Linked DNA regions of Anolis sagrei. The protein of the gene in region 2 purifies or fractionates together with the protein of the main gene of each other region. This does not show direct contact. Links are inferred from orthologs where the notes say so. Each region holds a gene or a part of one and is shown on either strand. Other genes may lie near its edges.

Evidence for each region.
Region 1: the proteins of PARD6B (region 2) and LLGL2 purify together in Homo sapiens (affinity purification with mass spectrometry; 7 studies listed by BioGRID and IntAct, counting the BioPlex papers as one, with this or other methods). This does not show direct contact. The link is inferred for Anolis sagrei from reciprocal best matches to the Homo sapiens genes PARD6B and LLGL2.

Annotation. Positions count from the first base shown.
Region 1 is NC_090022.1:117,841,416-117,853,067, reverse strand, and holds the start of LLGL2 (LLGL scribble cell polarity complex component 2), read right to left. Parts: upstream 4,895-11,652; 5' UTR 4,793-4,894; intron 4,675-4,792; exon of another isoform or gene 4,557-4,674; intron 1-4,556. UniProt on the Homo sapiens protein: Part of a complex with GPSM2/LGN, PRKCI/aPKC and PARD6B/Par-6, which may ensure the correct organization and orientation of bipolar spindles for normal cell division.
Region 2 is NC_090024.1:222,694,954-222,706,303, reverse strand, and holds the start of PARD6B (partitioning defective 6 homolog beta), read right to left. Parts: upstream 5,079-11,350; 5' UTR 4,938-5,078; coding exon 4,869-4,937; intron 1-4,868. UniProt on the Homo sapiens protein: Adapter protein involved in asymmetrical cell division and cell polarization processes. Probably involved in formation of epithelial tight junctions.

The DNA.
Region 1 (11,652 bases), on a different chromosome or scaffold from region 2:
TGTTGTGGGTATGAACAATGTGGAATTTTAGGGTGAATCTACACAGTAGTATTAATGCGAACTGGCACCACTTCAACTGCCATAGTTCAATTCTGTTGAATCCTGGGATTTGTAGTTTGTGAGGCATTAGCACTCTTCGTCTGAGAAAGCTAAAACTTTATAAAATGACAGCTCCCATGATACCATAACATTGATCCATTGCAGTTAAAGTGGTGTCCAACTGCATTAATTCTATATGGATCATCCCTTCTGGGCATATAGTCCCACACTCCCATACAAGACCTATTTATTGAAAAGTTAGCCATATTATTTTAACAGTGTACCCTTCGGGGTTTGATCTGTGAGCATATGAGACACATTAGTGCTACTAAAGCTAAACAGCAGCAGACTTTTTTTTTTTACAATAAACAATATGGAATGTGAATATTAGCTCTACAAAGAAACTGCACAATATGAAATTCAGTTTAAGGATAAGGAAAAAGGGTGGATAACAAAAAAGACTATTTATGATGGGACAAATCAGACTTTATAGTTTTTGACACAGGCCACATCTATACTGTCAGTCCAGATTATCTGCTTTGAACTGGAGTAAATGGCAGTGTAGACTCATACAATCCAGTTCAAAGCAGATAATCTGGATTATCTGTTTTGATAATCTCGATTATATGGCAGTGTAGATCCATCCACTGAGACCAATGCTGTATCAGAAAGGAATTTACTATCATTTGGGGTTATTTATTTATTTATCGTGTCAGTATCAACCAGACAGGCATGTAGCCAGGGGAGGGGCTCGGGGGGCTTCAGCCCCCCCCCCCCCCGAAATTTTCATGGTGGTTCGCGAAAAGGCCTTAATGGTGCATTATTTAAACTGTTATGTTTATTCATATCATGATCTGATCACCATACTCAACATATTCCATATGCATGGGGGTATTGGGGTAATGATACAAAAGGTTTGCTAGGCTAGACCTTCTTTCACTCAGACTCAGCCCCCCCCCCGAAACTCAGGCCCCCCCGAAACCCCCCCTGAAAAAAAATTCAGCCCCCCCCCCCCCCCCCGAAATGAAATCCTGGCTACGGGCCTGCAACCAGACAATTGTATTACATTTTGGGTAAATTGCAATAATAAATGCAGTAACTAGAATGTGTGTACATATATATAATGGAAAGTAGTCAGAAAAATGGAAGCTATTTGCACTGCTAATGATACAAGGTAAAGTTCTCACAACCCTAAGTGTCATCATCTAGGAACTTCTATGATGCAAAACATGCCTGATGTATGTTAAATAGGTATCTACACGGGCTCTTAATAACATTTAAATTTCTGCTATCAAAAGTAAATAAGCATTATTTAAGAAAGTCCTATGGACATAAGTGTCATCAGGAGAGTAGACATAAATGATACACCAAGCTTCCCCAACACAGTGTCCTCCAGATGTGTTATATTATAACCTCCATTCTACCCCAACAAACATAGGATTATTAATGTATTGTCAAAGACTTTCACGTCCAGTATCACTGGGTTTTTGTGAGTTTTACAGACTGTATGGTCATGTTCCAGAAGCATTCTCTCCTGACATTTTGCCTGAATCTATGGAAGGCATCCTCAGAGGTTGTGACCTCTGAGGCTGCCTGCCATAAATGCAGGTGAAACAACAGGAGATAATGCTTCTGGAACATGGCCATACAATCTGGAAAACTCACAAAAACCCATAAGATTTTTAGTTTAACACCTCTCGAGATACCTGGATGGTTGAGGATGAGAACTATGTTGTGTAACTGTAGCTCCCAGCATTCAATACTTCTGAGTGAATTTATCAGGGATGCTGGGAGCTGAACTCCAAGTTCACCAAGGGGGCTGCACAATCTCCAGCCCTATGATTGGGGAAGGCAGAATTGCATGGCCGTCTGCTGTCCCTCAAAGGCAAAGATGACAACCATTTTCACAGCAGAACAGGTAGAGGTGAAGGGCAAAGGAAGCAAGTCATTGATCTAGAATAATAAGCCATTGTCTGAGCCTGGGAATGAAAACCTGGTGAAAGACTATTAATAAGACAACCACAGAGGGATTTATTCCCAACAATAAGGGAAAGTATTTCAAAGGGATCCAGTTTTCACCAAAACAGGCTGGAATAAATGAGACCTGGTAATGTGTTGCCCTTCCTCCAACAATGTCCCTATTTCAGCCAACAATCCTTTACTGTCTGAAGAATCCCGCTTGCATTAGAAACTGTAGTTTGGATGCTCTGCCTCCAAATAAGACTCCAAGAAAAGCAGGAAAGGAGTTTACAAGCCTTTAGGTGTGGGATTTTGTTAGCTTCCTGCTTTGCTTTGCCTCAGGGGGTGTAGCAAGGCCATTTTCAGTAGTCGAAACTCAACAAGACAAGCCCCTTTATTAGGCAGGGAGTTCTGTCGATTCAAATTGCTAAAAGATTGCATGGAGGTTTCAGTTTGCCTCAGGCTTATCAGCAGAGGCAGTCATTACATCAAACCAACTTCAGCAAAGTTATTTTTGTACTACAACTCCCAGAATGCCCCATCCCGTCAGGTTATAGAAATTGTTTTCTGGAAGATAAATTCAAGTTGTTATAGCCCAAAGATAAATTTCCTCAGGCTTTAATTTAAGTCAAACCTGGTTCAGTTTGTGAACGACAGTCATCTCCATAAAGAATAGCTACTTAATTCAGGATAGCTTTTTACAACTTAAGAACTGGTTGCCTGTATTAAAAACTCCATGACATCAAATAAAGAGCAACAGTCAAAAAACAGGGAATTTCAGACAGGAAACAATCAGGGCCAGCTAACACCTCCCAAAAAAGGATACCACAGGCAGGAAACAGCCAGGCTTTGAAGCTGCCAGGCTATTCAATGCTAATCAAGCTGGCCAATTGCAACATTCACACTTGCCTCAAGCAGACAAGAGTTCTTTCTCCCAACCTGGACATTCCACAGATATATAAACCTCACTGGCCTAGTTTCTAGCAGACTTCATAACCTCTGAGGATGCCTGCCGTAGATGTGGGTGAAACATCAGGGGGGAATGCTCCTGGAACATGGCCATACTGCCTGGAAAACTCACAGCAACCCAACTTCAGAACTATCTCGATCAAGGATACATCTACACTATAGAATTAATGCAGTTTGACCCCACTTCAACTGCCATAGCTAGTTTTAAAAGATCTATAGCTTTCTCTGTTAGAGTACTGGTGCCTCGCCAAACTACAACATCCACAATTCCATAGCATTGAATCATGGCAGTTAAAAGTGGGATCAAACTGTTTTATAGAATCATAGAGTTGGAAGAGACCTTGTGGGCCATCCAGTCCAACCCCATTCTGCCAAGAAGCAGGGAAATTGAATTCAAAGCACCCCCGATAGATGGCCATCCAGCCTCTGTTTAAAGACTCCAAAGAAGGCGCCTCTTACTGTATAGAAGTTTTAATCTTACTGTATAGATGCACCCTAAATGTGCCAAAGCATTGGCTTTCTCTCATTGCATAAATTAACCCTCAAATCTCTGTCTTGTGGCAAGATCATTGTCTGCTTTCTGCCAAGCACTTTTATTCTATTCAAGCAAGCTTACAAAAGGAAGCACTTTTATGCCAAATGACTACCTTGGCCTTCGTCAACTCATAAAGTGGCATTAAGGAAAAAAAGAGAGCAACCTGAAACAAATAATAGCCACGGGGAGCGAGGTTATAGCCTTGCTTTGCTGCTCACCCTGGCACCTGTGCAAACAAAAGTGTCCTTATAGGGAGAAGAGCAAACCACCTCCCAGAATACCTTCGGTTTCAAGCCACACTGCAAGGCCAGGCGAACAAAGCACCAGAAAGGCCGCACCACACCCGGAAACCTAACACCTGGAACTAGTTCCTTTCACCCAGGTAAGTCTCTCAGCCCACAATGGCAGGCTCCCCAAGGTCGGCCCACCCTCACCTTTAGCAAAGCCTCATCCAACCTGAGATACTGTCAGATCCAACCCCATCCACCCAAAAACTCTTGTGTCCTAGTGTTTGCGAGTGCATCTACACCAGGCATGGGCAAACTTAGGCCCTCCAGGTGTTTTGGACTCCAACTCCCACAATTCCTAACAGGAATTGTGGGAGTTGAAATCCAAAATACATGGAGGGCCCAAGTTTGCCCATGCCTGGTCTACACTGTTGAATTAATGCGGTCCAGCACCAGTTTAATTGCTATGCCACAATGCTATGGAATCCTGGGAGCTGTAGTTTGATGAAGCCCAGCACTCTCTGGCAGAGAAGGCTACAGACCTAATGAAACCACAACTCCCTGGATCCCAAAGCATTGAACCATGGTAGTTAAAGTGGTATCAAAGTGCATTCATTCAGCAGTGTGGATGCACCCTCAATCAGATCCTAACAAGAGAGCTGATTGGAGTACACAGCAAGTGTCAGGCTCCAGACAGCCCCCCTCCCCCAAACCCTGGCCTTCTACCCCATCCCCCTCATACTTGAGGTCAAAAGAGAAGCACCCCAAATCTGTTCCCATACCCTCCCCAAAACACACACTTCAGCAAAGCCCGGCTGCAAACTTACCTTCCAGCAGGGAGGCAAAGCTGTAACCCCACCCCACAAGGAAGGAAGGAAGGAAGGAAGGAAAGCTTGCCTCTTCCCTTTTCTTTCTTTCTTTCTCTCTCCCTCGATCTCTCTCTTTCTCTCCCTCCCAACCCCACCCCCTTACTTGCAGCCTTGGCCCTATTTCCACGCCCACCCTCTCCTTTCTCTCTCTCCCCCCCCCCCCTTCCTCCGGCTCTCCATATCTCGTTGCTTACCGCACAATCTCGCCCTTCGAGCAGCAGCAGCAGCAGCAGCGCCGCCGCCTCGCCTTCCTGGATACCTCCGGGAGGGGGCGTTCCCGCCGGATATGCAAATGAGCCCCGGCGAAAGGGCGGGGTTAGCGCGGCGCCTTCTTTCAACCCGGCTCCTGAGTCATTATTCACCGCAGCCAATCGGGAGTCAGAGCTCATACCCCCCCCCCTCCTCCTCCTTCTTCCTCCGCCTTTCTCTTCTATCTCTCACTCTTTAGCTCTGGCCAATAGAAAAAGAGCAGAGGGAGCGGGGGGGGGGGGGGGGAGAGGAAGGGAGAATTGGAATCAGAAGTGCATGCTCCTTCTGAGCCAATGGGGAGGGGAGGGGAGAGTAGGGGGTGTATTTTTCACACTACACTGTAATGAGCATGCCTGCCATAGATGCAGGCGAAACGTCAGGAGAAAATGCTTCTGGAACATGGCCATACAGTTAATCTTTAACTTACAAAAACCCCATCATTAATTCTTTCTGACACTACTTTACTGCCATGCGATAGGATCCAGGGAGTTTGGTGATTTCCCAATACTTAGCAGCAGCAGAGAAGGCTACAGACCTTGCAAAACTACATGACAGTTAATGGTGTCAATATGCATCAATTCTTCCGTGTAGATGCATCCTTAAGCCACTATACTAGCTCTCTCTATATTCTGCCCACCCCATTTTAAGCCAATTGACTGTTAAGACCCAAACCCAAGTTCTGCATTAGTTTCAAAATCAAATTGTATTTCCTCTCTTCTAATTTTTGTGCTGCGGCCTTATTTCTGGAGCAGAAAAAGAAAAGGTAAAGGTTTTCCCCTGACATTGTCTAGTCATGTCTGACTCTGGGGGTTAGTGCTTGTCACCATTTCTAAGCCGAAGCGCTGGTGTTGTCCGTAGACGCCTCCAAAGTCATGTGGCTGGCATGACTGCATGGAGCACCGTTACCTTCCTTCTGGAGCAGTAGCTATTCATCTACTCACATTTGCATGTTTTCAAACTGCTAGGCTGGCAGAAGCTAAGCCGTATTGTAGGGGTCCCTTAGAGAGCCAAAGAATGCCCCATGGGATCCTAACTGAACGATGCTTCTTATTCTAAACATGAAGGGAGAATTTCATTTTCCAGGGTAGCTTTTAGAAGTCAGTGCTCCACTACATTAATTAAATGTGGGTATAGCTATGGCCCCATCTACATTGCCATAAAATGCAGTGTCAAGCTGCATTATATGGCAGCATACATGGGGCCAATGTGGGTCACAGTGACAAGAAAATATTTGTAGTTGTGACTCAGTGGAATCATTGCCTATTTCTTCCATCTCCCCCTCAAAGCCGACAAATCTTTAACAGGTAATAATTATCGGTGCCAATGATGTTTCTTTCATCATCCCATGCAGGAAACAGCTTTATTATTAGCCTTTAAAGGTGTCACAAAACAGCTTCCTATTCATGCAAGAAACTTTTTTGTGAACTTTGTGGTGACAAGAGCATGAGATATGTTATCCTACCAGGAACTAAAGGAACAAACTTCAAGTGTACCTTTAGGCTACGACTGGACACAAAATGTTTTGAAAAGGACTATTACAACAATAAGAGGCATACCAGGAAGTAAACTACATCATTTGATAGGATCTATGGTTGAGTAAACAAATTCAGATTAAAGGTTGCAAGCCTCAGTGAATGAAGGCGGGAGACCTATCATTTGTTTAACCATGATCATAATCATCGTTTCTCTCTGTATATATTTCAAAGTATATATGTATGCATGCATATTTTTCCATTTGTACCACAAAGGAGGTTATTAGGTGAAGTGGCCCTTTGTGATGTCACTGGATTGTTTGTGGCTATATAAAGGTGTCCTCTGTGATGTCACTCGGAAAGAAAGGGGACACAATTACGAGCAGAAAGAAAGAAAGAGAATAAAGAAAGGAAAGGCAATGATAGGAGGGAGTGGGGGAGAAAGAAAAGGGAAACATTGTGAAATAGCCTTTTCAGAGCTGAAGAAGGGAGAAAGTAGACAGGCAGTGGTACCATCAACACCTGGGAATGCCAGGTATATAAGCTAGTTTAGTATATTTTTAAAAGTACCATATTTCACTGCATAATAGTCACACTTTTCTCACCTTTTTTGCTTTTTTGTGACTATTACATTGTGGCAACTATTACAGGGTGAAAAAATTTCCAGCTATGGGGCTTCACTTGGCTGCCAGACAAGTGAAGCCCTGTAGCTAGAAAGGGGGCAGGTGTGTGGTCGAGTGAAGCTTCCCCTGCCTACATGCCTGCCCCATTTACAACTATGGGGTTTCACTTGGAGCTTCACCAGCCAAGTGAAACCCCATCTCTCCAAGGAAGCAGGCACATGGGTGAGTTGCACCCTTCCTTCACTCGCCCAAGCAGATGTGCAGGCAAGTGAATAAAAGGTGCACTTATTGTGAGGAACAGAAAAATACTAATTTCCCACCCTAAAAATGGGCGTGTGACTATTATTCAGTGACAACTATTGTGTGAGGATATTTTTAGTTAGTAACCACACGGGCTGTAGTTAATACACGGTAATACAAGGGTTGGCAGAGTGAAACTGGAAAGACTCCTGGACCTTAAATGGTTGTGCAGAGCAAAACAGAGTATGTCACCTTCTTACCTGCTTGTCTGACATTCAACATCCACCAAAATGTCCTCTTCTACACAAGCATTAAAGGCACAGGAACACTCTCACTCTGGCAACTGGAAGTAAACAATACAAAGAAAACAAGGACTAATTTCTCCAAAAGGTGCCATTCTTTGTGGCATTGCATTTAAAACATTAGCCTTTAATACATCTGCACCAGGTTGTGATGTGTTATTTCTTCCATATTATCCGACTTCAGAAGGGGAATTGCACAGAACCAGTTGATTTGTAATTGAGATGTGAGTCATAGCTCAGGAGAAGCAGTCAATGTGTGCCGGGCAAAGTATCAGAAGAAATATGAGCCAATAGATTTAGTTTCAGCTGAATTACAGAGATTGTGAATTTAACCCCAGGGGATTTCCTGTCTCTTTCATCTAGTCCTTGTTTCTTTTCTTTCTTTCTTCTTTTTCCCTAGCAAGCTGCTCACTGAGGCCCCTGTGATGGCTGAGCAAGAACTGAAACTAAATCCCAGGGTGGGACCTGTCCTCCTTCACCTGTTTTGTGACACTGCTCTGTAGTACAGAACACATTGTTAAGCAACACAAAACTGGAAACTCCAGAAAGCCTGCATAAATCCTTCTTCTGGTTTGATAATAATTTTGCCCGTGTCCCTGGATACAAACACTCTCCTGATCTGTCATTCTGTCTCCAAATTGAAGGGATGACTGATATTTGGTTTGGTAAGACACCCAGTTAATAAGTAGTTTTTTACTGGACTACTTCCAAGGAGTGCATATGATTTATTCCAACGTTGAGGATTTTTTATTTACTGTACTGTCAGGAAGGTGATCCCTGTTTGACCAACATAAAGTGGATTCTTTACAAATAAATTGGATGGGGATAGAAATATTAAGGTACTGGATTACTAGAAGACATGTTGGGCTTATTTCCTCCATCCTCCTGTCTGCACAAAGCCAAAGCTATTTTTTTACTGATGGCTTTGTTGTCAAACACCAATCCCCCCCCCCACCACCACCACCACCACCACCATGGAAATGCAGTATCTGCGGGAGTTGTAGTTTCCTGGGGGCGGAGGGCCTCCATGAGTTGCCATGGCCCTCACCTCACTGAGTCTCCCCAGTTGCACCTAAGCACTCCTGATCAGCGACGCATAACCCCCATTTTCCAAAAACCCTGCCAACTCAGCTGGTTTACTGGGATCTTTCTGGAGCAGCGCACAACCAGAGCCCAGGGAAGCCAGCAATGGCTGGTGCCACAGAGTATCAACCTGCCTCACTGCCAGAGATACACTATATCTCTCTTCCTCCCTCGCTAGACTTCATTGCTTTCTCCTCCACTTCGCCCCACTATCTATAACTATTTTCTTTTTATTATTTTTCCCACTGCAAACCTGCACATGTGCACATCACATCATATAACAAAAATAAGGCAATCAACCCTCTCCCGCCTCTAAACATGTATGAAATAAGACACATTCTCTTTTCATCGGTATTTATTTATGAAATTATAAACTTTGAAGGTAAAACTGAAGCGTATTCCAATAAACTCTGAACATCTTCACTCCAGGATCCCTCCCAGCCCGCGGCCAGTTTTGGATAACCATCAAGGTGACAAAGACCCTTCCCGACAAACAGCCACCTGAAGCTTCCCTCTGAGAGATGGACACCAATCATGAGACAATGACCTAGGAGGAGACACAGATGATCCACTCAAGTCTCACATTGACATACTGGACTTTGTCATTGTCTCCCTCCTAGGAGAGTACTTGGGTCTGGCAAGTCACCATTGTTCCTGAATCCTGGACTCGATTCCCACATAATCCCCTCATTCAGTTTTCCACACTTTCATTAACATCGCCATGTCTGCCCAGAGCCCTCCCTTGCCTCACCATTGGAGGCCCCAGGGCTTCTCCACCTAGCTGGGTGGGGAATCCCAACCACATCACCACCTCCCTGACCAATCAGAGAGCAAGCCGGCAAGGTCCCGCCCCCTGATCAATCAGGGGTCAGGAAAACGCCACTGGCTTTTTTGCATGGACCAATCAGAGGGCTGGGAGGGAATTTCAAGTGGGTATTCTATGTATATAAAGTTATTTGCCTTTTCCATATTCTGTACACTTACACACTTTGAGCCTTTGTTGCAGTGTGAGAAATTCCCAGCCTCAAGCTTCTGTCTTTTGTCTTTATGCCAGTGAGATCCTGATTTCTCATCTCGGGACATTCGTGGTTAGTGGAACTTGCCAGGTTATTTTTCTCGGTAATAATAATAATAATAATAATAATACTTTATTTGTATCCTGCACCATCTCTTCTAAAGGGTTTGGAGCGGCTTATGGTATCTGCCAGGTAGCTAAAATTTCAAATTTTCTGGCTTCATAATAACTTTTTTTAAAAAAGGATGAGTGTTTACAAATATGATGTGAATACCCACATATTTTTTTTATTCCGAAATAGATATGTTCTTGAGTATTTGTATTCTTCTATATTAATAGAATCAGAAGTGGAAGACATCCTAAAGATCATCCAGTCCAACCCTGTGCCAGGCAAGAATACATAATCAGAGCATCCCCAGCAGATGGCCATCCACCCTCTGTTTAAAAACATTAATAGAACGAGACTCCACTACACTCCGAGGCACTAGCCCATTCCACTGCTTGCCAGGAAGTTCTTCCTAATGTTTAGATTGATTTTTTTTTTGCAGTTTGAATCCGTTGCTTCATTTCCTAGTCTCCAAAGCAGCAGGAAACAAGCTTGCCCATTCCCCTTCAATTGACATCCTTTTTCAATATTTAAACATGGCTATCCTGTCCTCTTTTCTCTAAAGTAAATAGACCCAGCTTCCTAAGGTGCTCCTTGTAGGTTTGGCTTCCAAACTCTTGATCTTTGAATTCCATGATTCTACTTATTCTAAAAATAGAGCAAAGTTAAGCCATGTTGCTCCATAAGGATAAAAAAGTCACAAACCACATTCATGCTTTCCCTGAATTAGAACCAACCAAAATAGTGAGCAGACACTCTGAGGAAGACAAGGGATGCTGAAACAGGAACGTCTGTACAGTCAAAGCTTTTAAATGAAATCTGGCACAGTCAAACTGATTTAAATGGATTAGACTCCCACAGATGTTATCACTTTGCAGTGAAGACTGTTGGGAAATGTGACATTTAGCAATTGTGTCTCCCTATTTTTGAAAATATAAATCACAGGTGTTAAACTGGAATTAATCTCCAGCTTCAGGCAAAACACACTGATCTCATGTTGTGGAGGTAGAAAAAGTAAAAAGTCTCATTATATACAATGACATAGTAAAATGGAACCCTTATGTAAAATGACAGACAATTCTAATGACTGCTGAAGAGAGCCTGAGGATTTATGAATAGTGGGATACTACAGCAGGTATGCTTACACATCAGAGAAGTGCTCAACCTATAGTAAAATCAAAATTTGCTCTTTGGTTGTCTGTTTGTCCCCATACTCCCCCCCCCCCCCCAAAATTTTTTCCTGCAAAGCTTTGCTGAATTGTACTTGCAGAACCCTTGGCATACATTGTAAATACAGGTTGAGTATTCCTTATTCAAAATGCCTGGAATCAAAAGTGTTTCAAATTTTGCCCTCACCCACCCACATACACACATTTTGGAATACTGTCTACATGCAGATAATGAGGTATTTTATGTATGGGATCCAAGTTCATTTATGTTTGCTGTCGTGCTTCACCAAACAACAACTCCACAGCATTGAATCATTGCAGTTAAAGTAGAATCAAACTGCATTAATTTGATAGTACAGATGCACTCCAGTTTTCTGTATGATGTACATTTGATGCTGATTTGTTAAAAAAAATTGGGTAAGTGTATTTCAGATGTTGCCTAAGCCTTTATTATGCAGGTGGGAATTGAGGTACGATTTTTAAACATTAAAGGCCATCTGAAACAGCACTGTTTTGGCTGCTTGCCAAAAGAACAAAAGAACCCGACTTCCTTGGGCAGGGAGTTCCACATTTGGAGTACTGTGACAAACAAAAGCCCTGATATGTATACATAGGAAGCTAACTTCACAAACTAATGAAACATAGCTCTGTTTCAGAAACACACTGTAAAAGTTTGGCAGGTTCAGAAAAAGTTTGTACATTTGGGCTGCAGCTTTAAAATGAGGGAAAGTAAGCAGGGATGAAACCAAAGAAACGGAAGGGTAGGACTGCAGGACGACAAAAGAGGAATTTGTG
Region 2 (11,350 bases):
TAGGTGAACTATAAATCCCAGCAACTACAACTCCCAAATGTCAAGGCCTATTTCCCCCCAAACATCACCAGTGTTCAGATTTGGGCATATTGAGTATTCATGCCAAGTCTGGTCCAGATCCATTATCATTTGAGTCCATAGTGCTCTCTGGATGTAGGTGAACTACAACTCCAAAACTCAAGGTCAATGCCCACCAAACCCTTTCATTATTTTCTGTTGGTCATGGGAGTTCTGTGTGCCAAGTTTGGTTCAATTCCATCGCTGGTGGAGTTCAATGCTCTTTGATTGTAAATTTATTATAAACGATAGCAACTACAACTCCCAAATGACAAAATCAACACCCCCCCCCCGACCCCACCAGTATTCAATAGGCCTGTTTGATCAAGAAAAAATTTGTTTCTAAATTCGATTCTTAATTGGGGTGTTTTTTTGTTTCGATATTAAAAATATTTACAAAACTTTCAAAAAAAATGTTTTGTTATTTACGAATTTTCGTTATTATTTACAAAACATTTTTGAAAAAAAATTTTTCTTGATCAAACAGGCTAAGTGTGAATGTTGCAGTAATGGTCACCTTGATTAGCATTGAATGGCTTTCTCCCACCCTGGACATTCCATAGATAATATTAGATGATATATAACTCACCATTTGCCTAGTTTCCAACAGACCTCTGAGGATGCCTGCCATAGATGTGGGCAAAATGTCAGGAGAGAATGCTTCTGGAACATGGTCATACAGCCCTGAAAAGTCACACAAGCCGGATGGCGCGCGGAGGCCGCTTGTGAGCCCGCGCGCGCCATCCAATGGGCTCCGGCGCCCCCCTCCTCCTCCTCCTCCTCCTCCTCTTCCTCCCAGGTGGGAGGAAGAGGAGGAGGAGGAGGAGGAGGAGGGGGGCGCCGGAGCCAGAGCCGGATGGCGCGCGGAGGCCGCTTGTGAGCCCGCGCGCGCCATCCAATGGGCTCCGGCGCCCCCCTCCTCCTCCTCCTCCTCCTCCTCTTCCTCCCAGGTGGGAGGAAGAGGAGGAGGAGGAGGAGGAGGGGGGCGCCGGAGCCAGAGCCGGATGGCGCGCGGAGGCCGCTTGTGAGCGCGCGCGCGCCATCCAATGGGCTCCGGCGCCCCCCTCCTCCTCCTCCTCCTCCTCCTCTTCCTCCCAGCTGGGAGGAAGAGGAGGAGGAGGAGGAGGAGGAGGGGGGCGCAGGAGCCCATTGGATGGCGCGCGGAGGCCGCTTGTGAGCGCGCGCGCGCCATCCAATGGGCTCCGGAGGAAGAGGAGGAGCCAGAGCCGGATGGCGCGCTCAGCAGCAGCCTCCATGCAATTAACGAGCGGAGCTTCAGCTCGTAAAATACATGGGGCTGCTGCTTCGATATTTTTAAACCCTTCCGGGTTTAAAAATATGTTTTGATATCGCTTCGGATATGCAAAAAATAACGATTTTAATACGAATTAACGAATTAACGAAACGAAACCGACAGGCCTAGTATTCAAATGTGGACGTCATTGGGTATTTGTGCCAAATTTGGTCCAGTGAATGAAAATACATCCTGCATATCAGATATTTGCATTACAATTCATAACAGTAACAAACTTACACTTATGATGTAGCAATGAAAATAATGTTATGGTTGGGGGGTCACCACAACATGAGGAACTCTATTAAGGGGTCACAGCATTAGGAAGGTTGAGCACCACTGTGCTAGTGATTCTCCATAATATGTCCGTTCCGCCCACCCCACAACACTCATCCAATTCTCCCTTGTTGCCCAATGTTATTCCAGAAGAAAATTACTACCTCGCCTTCAAGCTCATGTTCCTTCCGTCATAAAACAAATGTCACTGAACATGCTATTAGAGACAGAAAAGAAAAATAAGGCCATCAGCAGAAGTGTGATCAGCTAAACATTCACACCTAACTGCAGCAGGGAAGAGCTCCTTGCCCCACCCCAGCCATTCCACAGATATATAAACTCATTTTTCCTACTTCCAACAGACCTCACACCTCTGAGGATGCTTGCCATAGATGCAGGCGAAACGTCAGGAGAAATGCCTCTAGAACATGGCTCCATAGCACGAAAAAACCCACAAGAACCTAGAAGTGTTGTTGATAGGAGGAAGTGATTCTAGGGATACTTGGCTCGATCTCTCACCTCACCTCACCCAGAAAGCAGAAAAGAGAGAGATAGATGTGGGCGTGTATGTGCCTTCAGGTTACCTGTTCACCTATTAGATAGATAGATAAATAGATAGATAGATGTGGGTGTGTATATGCCTTCAGGTCATCTGTCCACTTATGGAGACCCCATGCATTTCAATAGGGCTTTCTTAAGCAAACTCAGAGGTGGTTTTGGCCCAGTTCCTCAATCTGAAATATAGCCTACAGCACCTGGTAGTCTCCCATCCAAGTTTTTTTTTGTTTTATGTCGTGTCAGGAGCTACTTGAGAAACTGCAAGTCGCTTTTGGTGTGAGAGAACTGGCCATCTGCAAGGATGTTGCCCAGGGGACGTCTGGATTTGATGTTTTTATCATCCTTGTGGTAGGCTTCTCTCATGTCCCCGTATGAGAAGCTGGAGCTGATAGAGGGAGCTCATCTGCCTCTCCCCGGGTCCAAACCTGTGACCTGTCGGGTCTTGAGTTCTGCCGACACAGGGGTTTAACCCACTGCGCCACCGGGGGCTCTTTTCCATCCAAGTGCTAACCATGGCTGTCCCTGATTAGCATCTAAGGCTGGCATGGCCAAACTTGAGCGCTCCCGGTATTTTGGACTTCAACTCCCACAATTCCTAACTGTTAGGAACTTTTTTTCCCATGTCAGGAGCGACTTGAGAGACTGCAAATCGCTTCTGGTGTGAGAGAATTGACTATCTGCAAGGATGTTGCCCAGGGGATGCTCGGATGTTTTGATGTTTTACCATCCTTTTGGGAGGCTTCTCTCATGTCCCTGCATGGGGAGCTGGAGCTGACAGAGGGAGCTCATCTGCAGTCTCCCCGGATTCGAACCGGGGGCTCCTGTTAGGAACTGTGGGCCTTGAAGTCCAAAACATCAGGAGGGCCCAAGTTTACCCATGCCTGCTCTAAGACCAGACTTACAGCCACCCATTGGATTTCATAGGGTTTTCAAAGGCAAAGAATAGTCAGAGCTCTTTTTGCCACTTCCTTCCTCTGAAATAGAGTCCATCGGCAGTCTCCCAGCCAAGAAACAGCCAGGGCTGACCCTGCTTAGCTTCCAAGATCAGTCCAGAGTTTGGTACTTTTTGGGTGCTTATGCCCTCAGAAGACATATAGTAATGTATTTCCTTCTCATCATAGGTTTAACCCAGGCATGGGCAAACTTGGGCCTTTTGGGTGTTTTGGACTCCAACTCCCACCATTCCTAACAGCCTCGGGCCCTTTCCTTTCCCCCCTCAGCTGCTTAAGCGGCTGAGGGGGAAAAGGAAAGGGTTTGAGGCTGTTAGGAATGGTGGGAGTTGGAGTCCAAAACACCCAAAAGGCCCAAGTTTGCCTTTTTAATCCCATATTTACTTCTATTATTATTATTTCTAGGAAAATAAGTATTGGGATTGTAAGTGTGGCTGTGAGTTCTAAGTGGACTCACAGAGTTCCTGCATGTCCTGTGTGCATGAAAAAGTGTGGTGTTAGCGAATGACCATGGCTACCCAGAGTGAATGCCCTCTGTACATGCCCAGAAGCATGGGCAACTCCAGGGTCCCCAGAGTTGAGTGCCCTCTGCATATGCCCAGAAACACTCCTGCCTACTGAATATGAAGGGGAACTTTTCCCAGATTCGACAAAACCACTTCCCAATCTGGGCAACTCCAGAGTCCCCAGAGTGAATGCCCTCTGCACATGCCCAGAAACACTCTTGTGTTCTCAAAAAACCTCCAGATTCGACTAAACCACTTCCCAATCAGGGCAACTCCTGAGTCCCCAGAGTGAATACCCTCTGCATATGCCCAGAAACACTCCTGTCTACTGAAGATGAAGGGGAACCGTTCCCAGATTTGACTAAACCACTTCCCAGTCAGGGCAACTCCAGAGTCCCCAGAGTGAATGCCCTCTGCACATGCCCAGAAGCATCTTGCGTCCTCAAAAAATCTCCAGATTTGACTAAACCACTTCCCAATCAGGGCAACTTCAGAGTCCCCAGGCTGAGTGCCCTCTGCATATGCCCAGAAACACTCCTTCCTACTGAAGATGAAGGGGAACCATTCTCAGATTCGACAAAACCACTTCCCAATCTCGGCAACTCCAGAGTCCCCAGAGTGAATGCCCTCTGCACATGTCCAGAAGCATTCTTGCCTACTGAAGAAATGGAAGAACCGTTCCCAGATTCGACAAAACCACTTCCCCATCAGGGCAACTCCAGAATCTACAGAATGAATGCCCTCTGCACATGCCCAGAAGCACTCTTGCCTCCGAAGAAGCAGAAGAACCGTTCCCAGATTCGACAAAACCACTTCCCAAGCTGGGCAACTCCAGAATCGACAGAATGAATGCTCTCTGCACATGCCCAGATGCATTCTTGCCTACTCAAGAAGAAGGAGTACCATTTCCTGATTCGACAAACCCACTTCCCAATCAGACAACCTCAGTGATGTCCTGACGCAGCGTGGAAGCCTCTCTGCGTATGCTCAGGGGCACTCTTGTGCACTTAAGGAAGAGGAGAACAAAAGCACCCTCCAACCCCCCAGATTCGACACAAGCTCCCTCCCAAACACAGCAACCGGCTTCCCTGACAACCGAAGGGGACAAACAAGGCCCTGGCTGTCTCCAACCCTTCCTTGAAGCGCGTGCCACCCGCTAGTGTGGACGCGAATCCCGCTTTAGCCCCCGATCCCGCCCAATGGGAGCAAGGGGGAGGCGGAACGCACCTTGCTCTTGACTTCCATGGGGCCGAGGCCGCGGCTTCCTCCGCCTCCTCCCCGCTGGACCCGGTTCATGCCGCCCGAGGGTCGCTCGGACTGGAAGCTGGGGCTCCTTCTCCGCCGATCCCGAGGAAGGGAAAGGTCCGCCCGAGAGCAGCAGCGCCGCAGCAGCTCCAGCCGCCGCCTCCTGGCACCTGCAGCTCCAAGGAGGAGGAGGAGGAGGGGAGGAGGAGGAGGAAGCAGCGCGCATGCGCGGACGCGGAGCCGCCCCGCGGATCCACCACAAGGAGGGGAAAGCCCCTGCACACCTGCGAGCCCCGGAGGCGCATGCGCACCTGTTGCTTCTTAGAGGGAGAGAAAAAAGAAAGGCACCTGCTAGGGAAGGCAGGATCCAGACTGCGCCTGCGCCATTGGGACAGGGAAGGAGGAGGTGTTGTGTTAGACAGCAGGGAGAGAAATACCTGCCGGGCTGGATTCCAAAGAAAGGGAGAGGACGGCGCATGCGCGGCTGCTGATAGTTTTTTTTTCCAATGGAAAGGTGCACTACGTTGTAACAACAACTTTATCTATATACCACCCTCTTTCCCCAATGGGACTTAGGGCGGTTAATGCAGGATTAATTGTAGGATTAATGCAATTTGGCACCGGTATGGACTCCTGGTAGTTGTATCTTGGTAGAGAGGGCTTGTTAAACTACAACTCCCAGGATTCCATAGCACTGAGCCATGGCATTTAATGAAGTATCAAACTGCATTAAGTCTATAGTGCAGATGGATCCCTAGTTACTGGAGCAACAGATTTTCAGAGCCTTGGAAACCCATTAGTTTTCATCCGTAGAAAAACAGTGCATTGTTTTTCTTTGCAGAGTTGCCCCATCATTCATGAGAATAAGGTAAAAGTTTACCCCTGACATGAAGTCCAGTTGTGGTGCTCATCTCCATTTCTAAGCCGAAGGGCCGGCATTGTCTGTAGACACCTCCAAGGTCATGTGGCCAGCATGACTGCATGGAGCACTGTTACCTTCCTGCAGAAGCATTACCTATTGATCTACTCATATTTGCATGTTTTCGAACTGCTAGGTTGGTAGAAGCTGGGGCTGACAACAGAAGCTCACACCGCTCTCCGAATTTGAACCTGCGACCTTTCAGTAAACAAGCTCAGCAGTTCAGCGCTTTAACCCACTGCGCCACCGAGGGCTCCTTCATGACAATAAACATGACTCTAAATAGTTACAGCATTTATAATCTTTTAACTTTAGTAACAATTTGTGATCTCAATTGAAAAGAGTTCCAACCAAAGTCTTGAAGTGCTTCAGAGAAAAAATAAGAATACTTCAATAATGTATTTTGGGGATGGGAAAGAAGAGCTGGGCATGTTTAGCCTGAAGAAGAGAAGGCTAAAAGGAGACATGATAGCCACATATAAATATGTGAGGGGAAGTCATAGGGAGGAGGGAGCAAGCTTGTTTTCTGCTTCCCTGGAGACTAGGACGCAGAACAATGGCTTCAAACTACAGAAAAGGATATTCCACCTGAACATGGGGAAGAACTTCCTAACTATGAGAGCTGATCAGCAGTGGAACTCTTTGCCCCAGAGTGTGGTGGAGACTCCTTCTTTGGAGGCTTTTAAAGAGAGGCTGGATGACCATCTGTTGGGGGTGCTTTGAATGCAATTTTCCTGCTTCTTGGCAAGGGGTTGGATTGGATGGCCCACATGGTCTCTCCCAACTCTATGATTCTAAGAAATTCATGAAAAAAAGTTTGTTTACTGATTAAAAAGGCTGTTTATGGTTTCATCTCCATATCTACTCAAACAATATTGTTACAGGATAAACAACATCAAGGGTGATAATTTACTTGATTTTCTTCCAACATGACACATTTTATGACCTTCAGCAGTGGCTGGATCCACACAATGTGTAGATCTACATAATGCAATTGTCCTGCATTGAACTACATTATACGGATCTACATTGACCATATTTTGCAAGTTCAAATTGAATTATATGGCAGTATAGATCCAGCTTGTGCCCTGCACAGAATAAATCTGTTTCTAAACAAAAAAATGGACACGAATCTGATATCAGAAATGGCAACATTTAGAAGCCAGTGGGAAGACATTTCAGTCTCGCCGTTTATTCCATAGATCACCTGAAAAGTTACCCAGAACCTCAATTTGTGGCTGATACTGGATGAGACACACACACACACACACACACACCCGGCACACAGAAGACTGGGCGACTTGGAAGGCGCTGAACAGACTGCGCTCTGGCACCACGAGATGCAGAGCCAACCTTAAGAAATGAGGTCACAAATTGGAGTCCATGACATGTGAGTATAGAGAAGAGCAAACCACAGACCACTTACTACAATTCATCCAGAGCTCTGCCACATGCACAATGGAGGACCTTCTTACAGCGACACCTTTAGGAGGCACTCCAAGTGGCCAGCTTCTGGTCAAAAGACTTAGTATAATGCCAAGTTTTTAACTTTGTGTTTTAAATACATTCTAATTGTACCCTCTACTTGCTTCTGATATGATAAATAAATATCTGAAAAGCTCCTTCTTTAAATAATACAGATTCAAAGGGGCAATGTTGTTAAAACAGTTGATCTGAAACTTCTCCAGAAGTATAGTGTTTATCTATCTGAGTTTCAATTGATGTATGCTCTGCTGCTGCTGTTGTTGTTAATTAATAGAACAAATCTAGGACACTTGTGTTTTCACAGACCAGTTCTTTTGTGAAGCCATTACTTTTTAGCATATATCTGCATATCTTTAATTCCTTAACAATTCCTTGTCATAGAGGACATGCTTTGTAATTTCTCTCCATCTCAGCTGCTGCCTACTGTTCTTTATTTATTGGGCTGGATATATGGTAGTTGTATTTTGAGTAATCTTATTAAAGTAAGTAGAACTTACACTAAAAAATGACTTTAGGCCTATTGTGGCATTATTCACAGCCAAAAGTATTTTAGTCTGTTTCAGCTTGAAAAGACATAAATGGTACATTTGAAAGTGACTGAGGAATAGCAAATTCCTAATGCAATCGTTTGTGGATTATCAGATGCAAACCCTATTGATTTCATTACGCTTATCAGCCAGTTATTACTGAAATTCAAGAAAACAGTGTTAATCTTTAAAATACTGTTATGACAGTTTTTTTGTGTCTGCTATAAAAGGCTGAATTGTGAAATACTTTTAGAAAGAGTCTTTTGAATTCTTATGTAGGTGTTTCTAAGTCTCCTTATGGAAACAGATATATGAACCCAAATGCATCTTCATTCACTGAATGACACGCCCGTGTCATTCAGTGAATGAAGATGCATTTGGGTCTGGAAGTGTGTGCTGCAAAATTTATGCTGGACTAAAGAGTTTGAAATCTTTCTCGTGGTTTAACACTTTAAATATTCTTCTTTCAAGTAAAAGACAGGTGGACTAATGGGGAATCTATGTGAACACTAAGGCAACAACATTTAATTGGATGGCACAAGTGTGTATCAGGGTGGATCTACACTGGAAATAATGCAGTTTGACACCACTATAACAGCCTTTGCTCAATGATATGGAATTCTGAGAGTTGTAGTTTTACAAGGAGTTTAATCTTCTGTGCCAAAAAGTTCTGGCACCTCACCGAACTACAAGTCTCAGGATTCCATAGCCTTGAGCCAAATCAATTAAAGTTGTGTCAAAATGCATTAATTCTGCAATATAGATGCACTCTTGACTGTAATTCTGTTTGGGAATGAACTATATTAACTCACAACACTTACTTCTGTGTAACCATGGATAGGGCAGGCCTGTTTACAGTTCAAATCTTTTGTCTTGAACTCTAACCTCAAACAAATTATTTAAATATATCAAAACTAAACAAAAACAAGTGGAAGGGATCAAAATCAATAGGTATATTGAAGCTGAAAATGAACATAGTTTTGTATACTGGGAATTCATTTGTACATACAAATCAGTTATTTCTTTGATAATTTTTCAGTATAGGGTGGAAGGAATACTTAGGATATGAATGTGTTGCCTATTAATATACATATGTGTAAGCTGTGTATATGTCCAAAAGGTCTATTACATTTTTCAGGAGTGTTCGAAAAAGTAACTTTCCCAAACTATACAGATCACATGGAGAGGATTTTCATGTCAGTCGAATTGACCTGCTTCTGAGACGCAAAAGCCGTTCAGTTGAACTCTGAGTGCTTATACTCATCATGTGGAAGGTTTTATCACTCCAGGTTTATTAGGTTTCTATGAAGGAAGTTTATTTCTCCCCCTTGCATTCTTCGCATGGTTGGAGTTCCAGATAAGGAGGGTGTGCCCGAAAGGTTGCTTGAAGTCAGCAAGGTACATTCATAAGGCAGAAATCTTGGGACCTCACCTCTTCAAAAATATTAATCATCGGTTGCCCAACATCACACAAATGACTTGGTACTGTAGTCAACCAAGGAAAGGAAGCAAGTTCAGATAGTAAAGAAACAGGCAGGTCTTCTTTCCTGGGGAAAGCACAAGATTAGTGAGCTATTTTAGTCACAAGCTCTGCAAAACCTGTGAGTCAGACTTTGCTCAAAGGTTTTTTTTCTGCCCCCAAAGAAAGGAATGTTCTGTTTCTGCCGACCTGTTCAGAGCCAGATGAGGAAACGTGCTTTTTAAATTTAATGCGAACATGTACCATTCTAAAGTAACCCAGGACTTGTAAGAAGAAGGCTATATTTCTATTGCATAATTTGAGCATTTTATATACAAATCTGAAATCCTGTACCACTTATTTAGGTGTGAGTCATATTAACCATAATGGGATTTTCTTTGTGATGGACACTTGTAGGATTGCATTGCAAAATAAAAACATACCATGAAAAGATTTCATTTTAAAGTGCCATTTGTTTATGTACATATTTCTACTTTACCCGATATATAAGCAGATTTCAGAGTATGGTATAACAAATCAAATCAAACTATAACATTTGAATGACATTTCTGAAGCACTTTCTGTTTTGAAAATTGACAACTCAAAAATTAGTCTACCAAGAGTAATACATTGAAAAACAAATCTTGATCTTATCAAGTCTCTAATGCAGTGTTTCTCAACCTTCCTAATGCTGCGACCCCTTAATACAGTTCCTCATGTTTTGGTGACCCCCAAACATAACATTATTTTCATTGCTACTTCATAACTGTCATTTTTGCTACTGTTATGAATCATAATGTAAATACCTAATATGCAGGATGTATTTTCACTCACTAGACGAAATTTGGCACAAATACCCGATACACCCAAATTTGAATACTGGTGGAGTTGTTGGGGGATTGGTTTTGTCATTTGAGAGTTTTAGTTGCTGGGATTTATAGTTAACCTACAATGAAAGAGCATTCTGAACTCCACCAATGATGGAATTGAACCAAACTTGGCACACAGAATTCCCATGACCAACAGAAAATGTTGGAAGAGTTTGGTGGGCATTGACCTTGAGTTTGGAGTTGTAGTTCACCTATATCCAGAGAGCACTGTGGACTCAAACAATGATGGATCTGGAGCAAACTTGGCATGAATACTCAATATGCCCAAATCTGAACACTGGTGATGTTTGGGGGGGGGGGGGGGGGTAGACCTTGACATTTGGGAGTTGTCATTGCTGGGATTTATCATTCACCTACAATCAAAGACCATTCTGAATCCCACAAACAATAGAATTGGGCCAAACTTTCCACACAGAACCCCCATGCCTTGAAGGGACTCCAGCCTCACTTGTTTTCTCTCACCACGTCTGTTTCCAAAAAGGAATTCCACGTCTGTTTCCAAAAAAGGAAGAGAAGGACAGGTGGAGAGACTTTCAGCCTTCTCTGCCAAAGGCGTTCCTAAGACTATCAGAAATATGTTTTCTGATGGTCTTTGGCAACCCCTCTGAAACCCCATCATGACCCCCCCCCCAGGGGTCCCAACCCCCAGGTTGAGAAATGCTGCTCTAATACCTAGTCTGGGTTTAACTTGGCACTGAAATAAGGACAAGGTTGGTGCCATTTGGGTCTGCAAGAGGAAAGCATTTCAAAACCAGGGTGTTGTAGCTGTAAATTCTGTCCATATTTATTCAAAAGTACACGCAATGAGTTCCAGAGTAAGCACACCAGTTGTGGAAAGTATGCCAGTTAAAGGACTGCAACTCCCAGCGTTCCACACCATTGATTAGGCTGATTAGGGCTTCTGTGAGTGCAGTGCAATAACATCTAGGTCAGCGATTCCCTACCTCTGGGCCTCCTCATGTTTTGAACTTCAGTTCCCAGAATGTTTGACCATTGACTAAATTGTGTGAGATGGTAGGGAACTGAAATCTAAAATAGAATTTGGGAATCACCATTTTAGAGGGTTACTCAATTCCTACCCTTGATTTATGTCCATATAAGAACTTAGAAAATAAATATTTTCTGAGTGCTGAATGACTAGCCTTTTTGGGTGGAGACTGAATGTTCTGGCATGTGCCACCTCA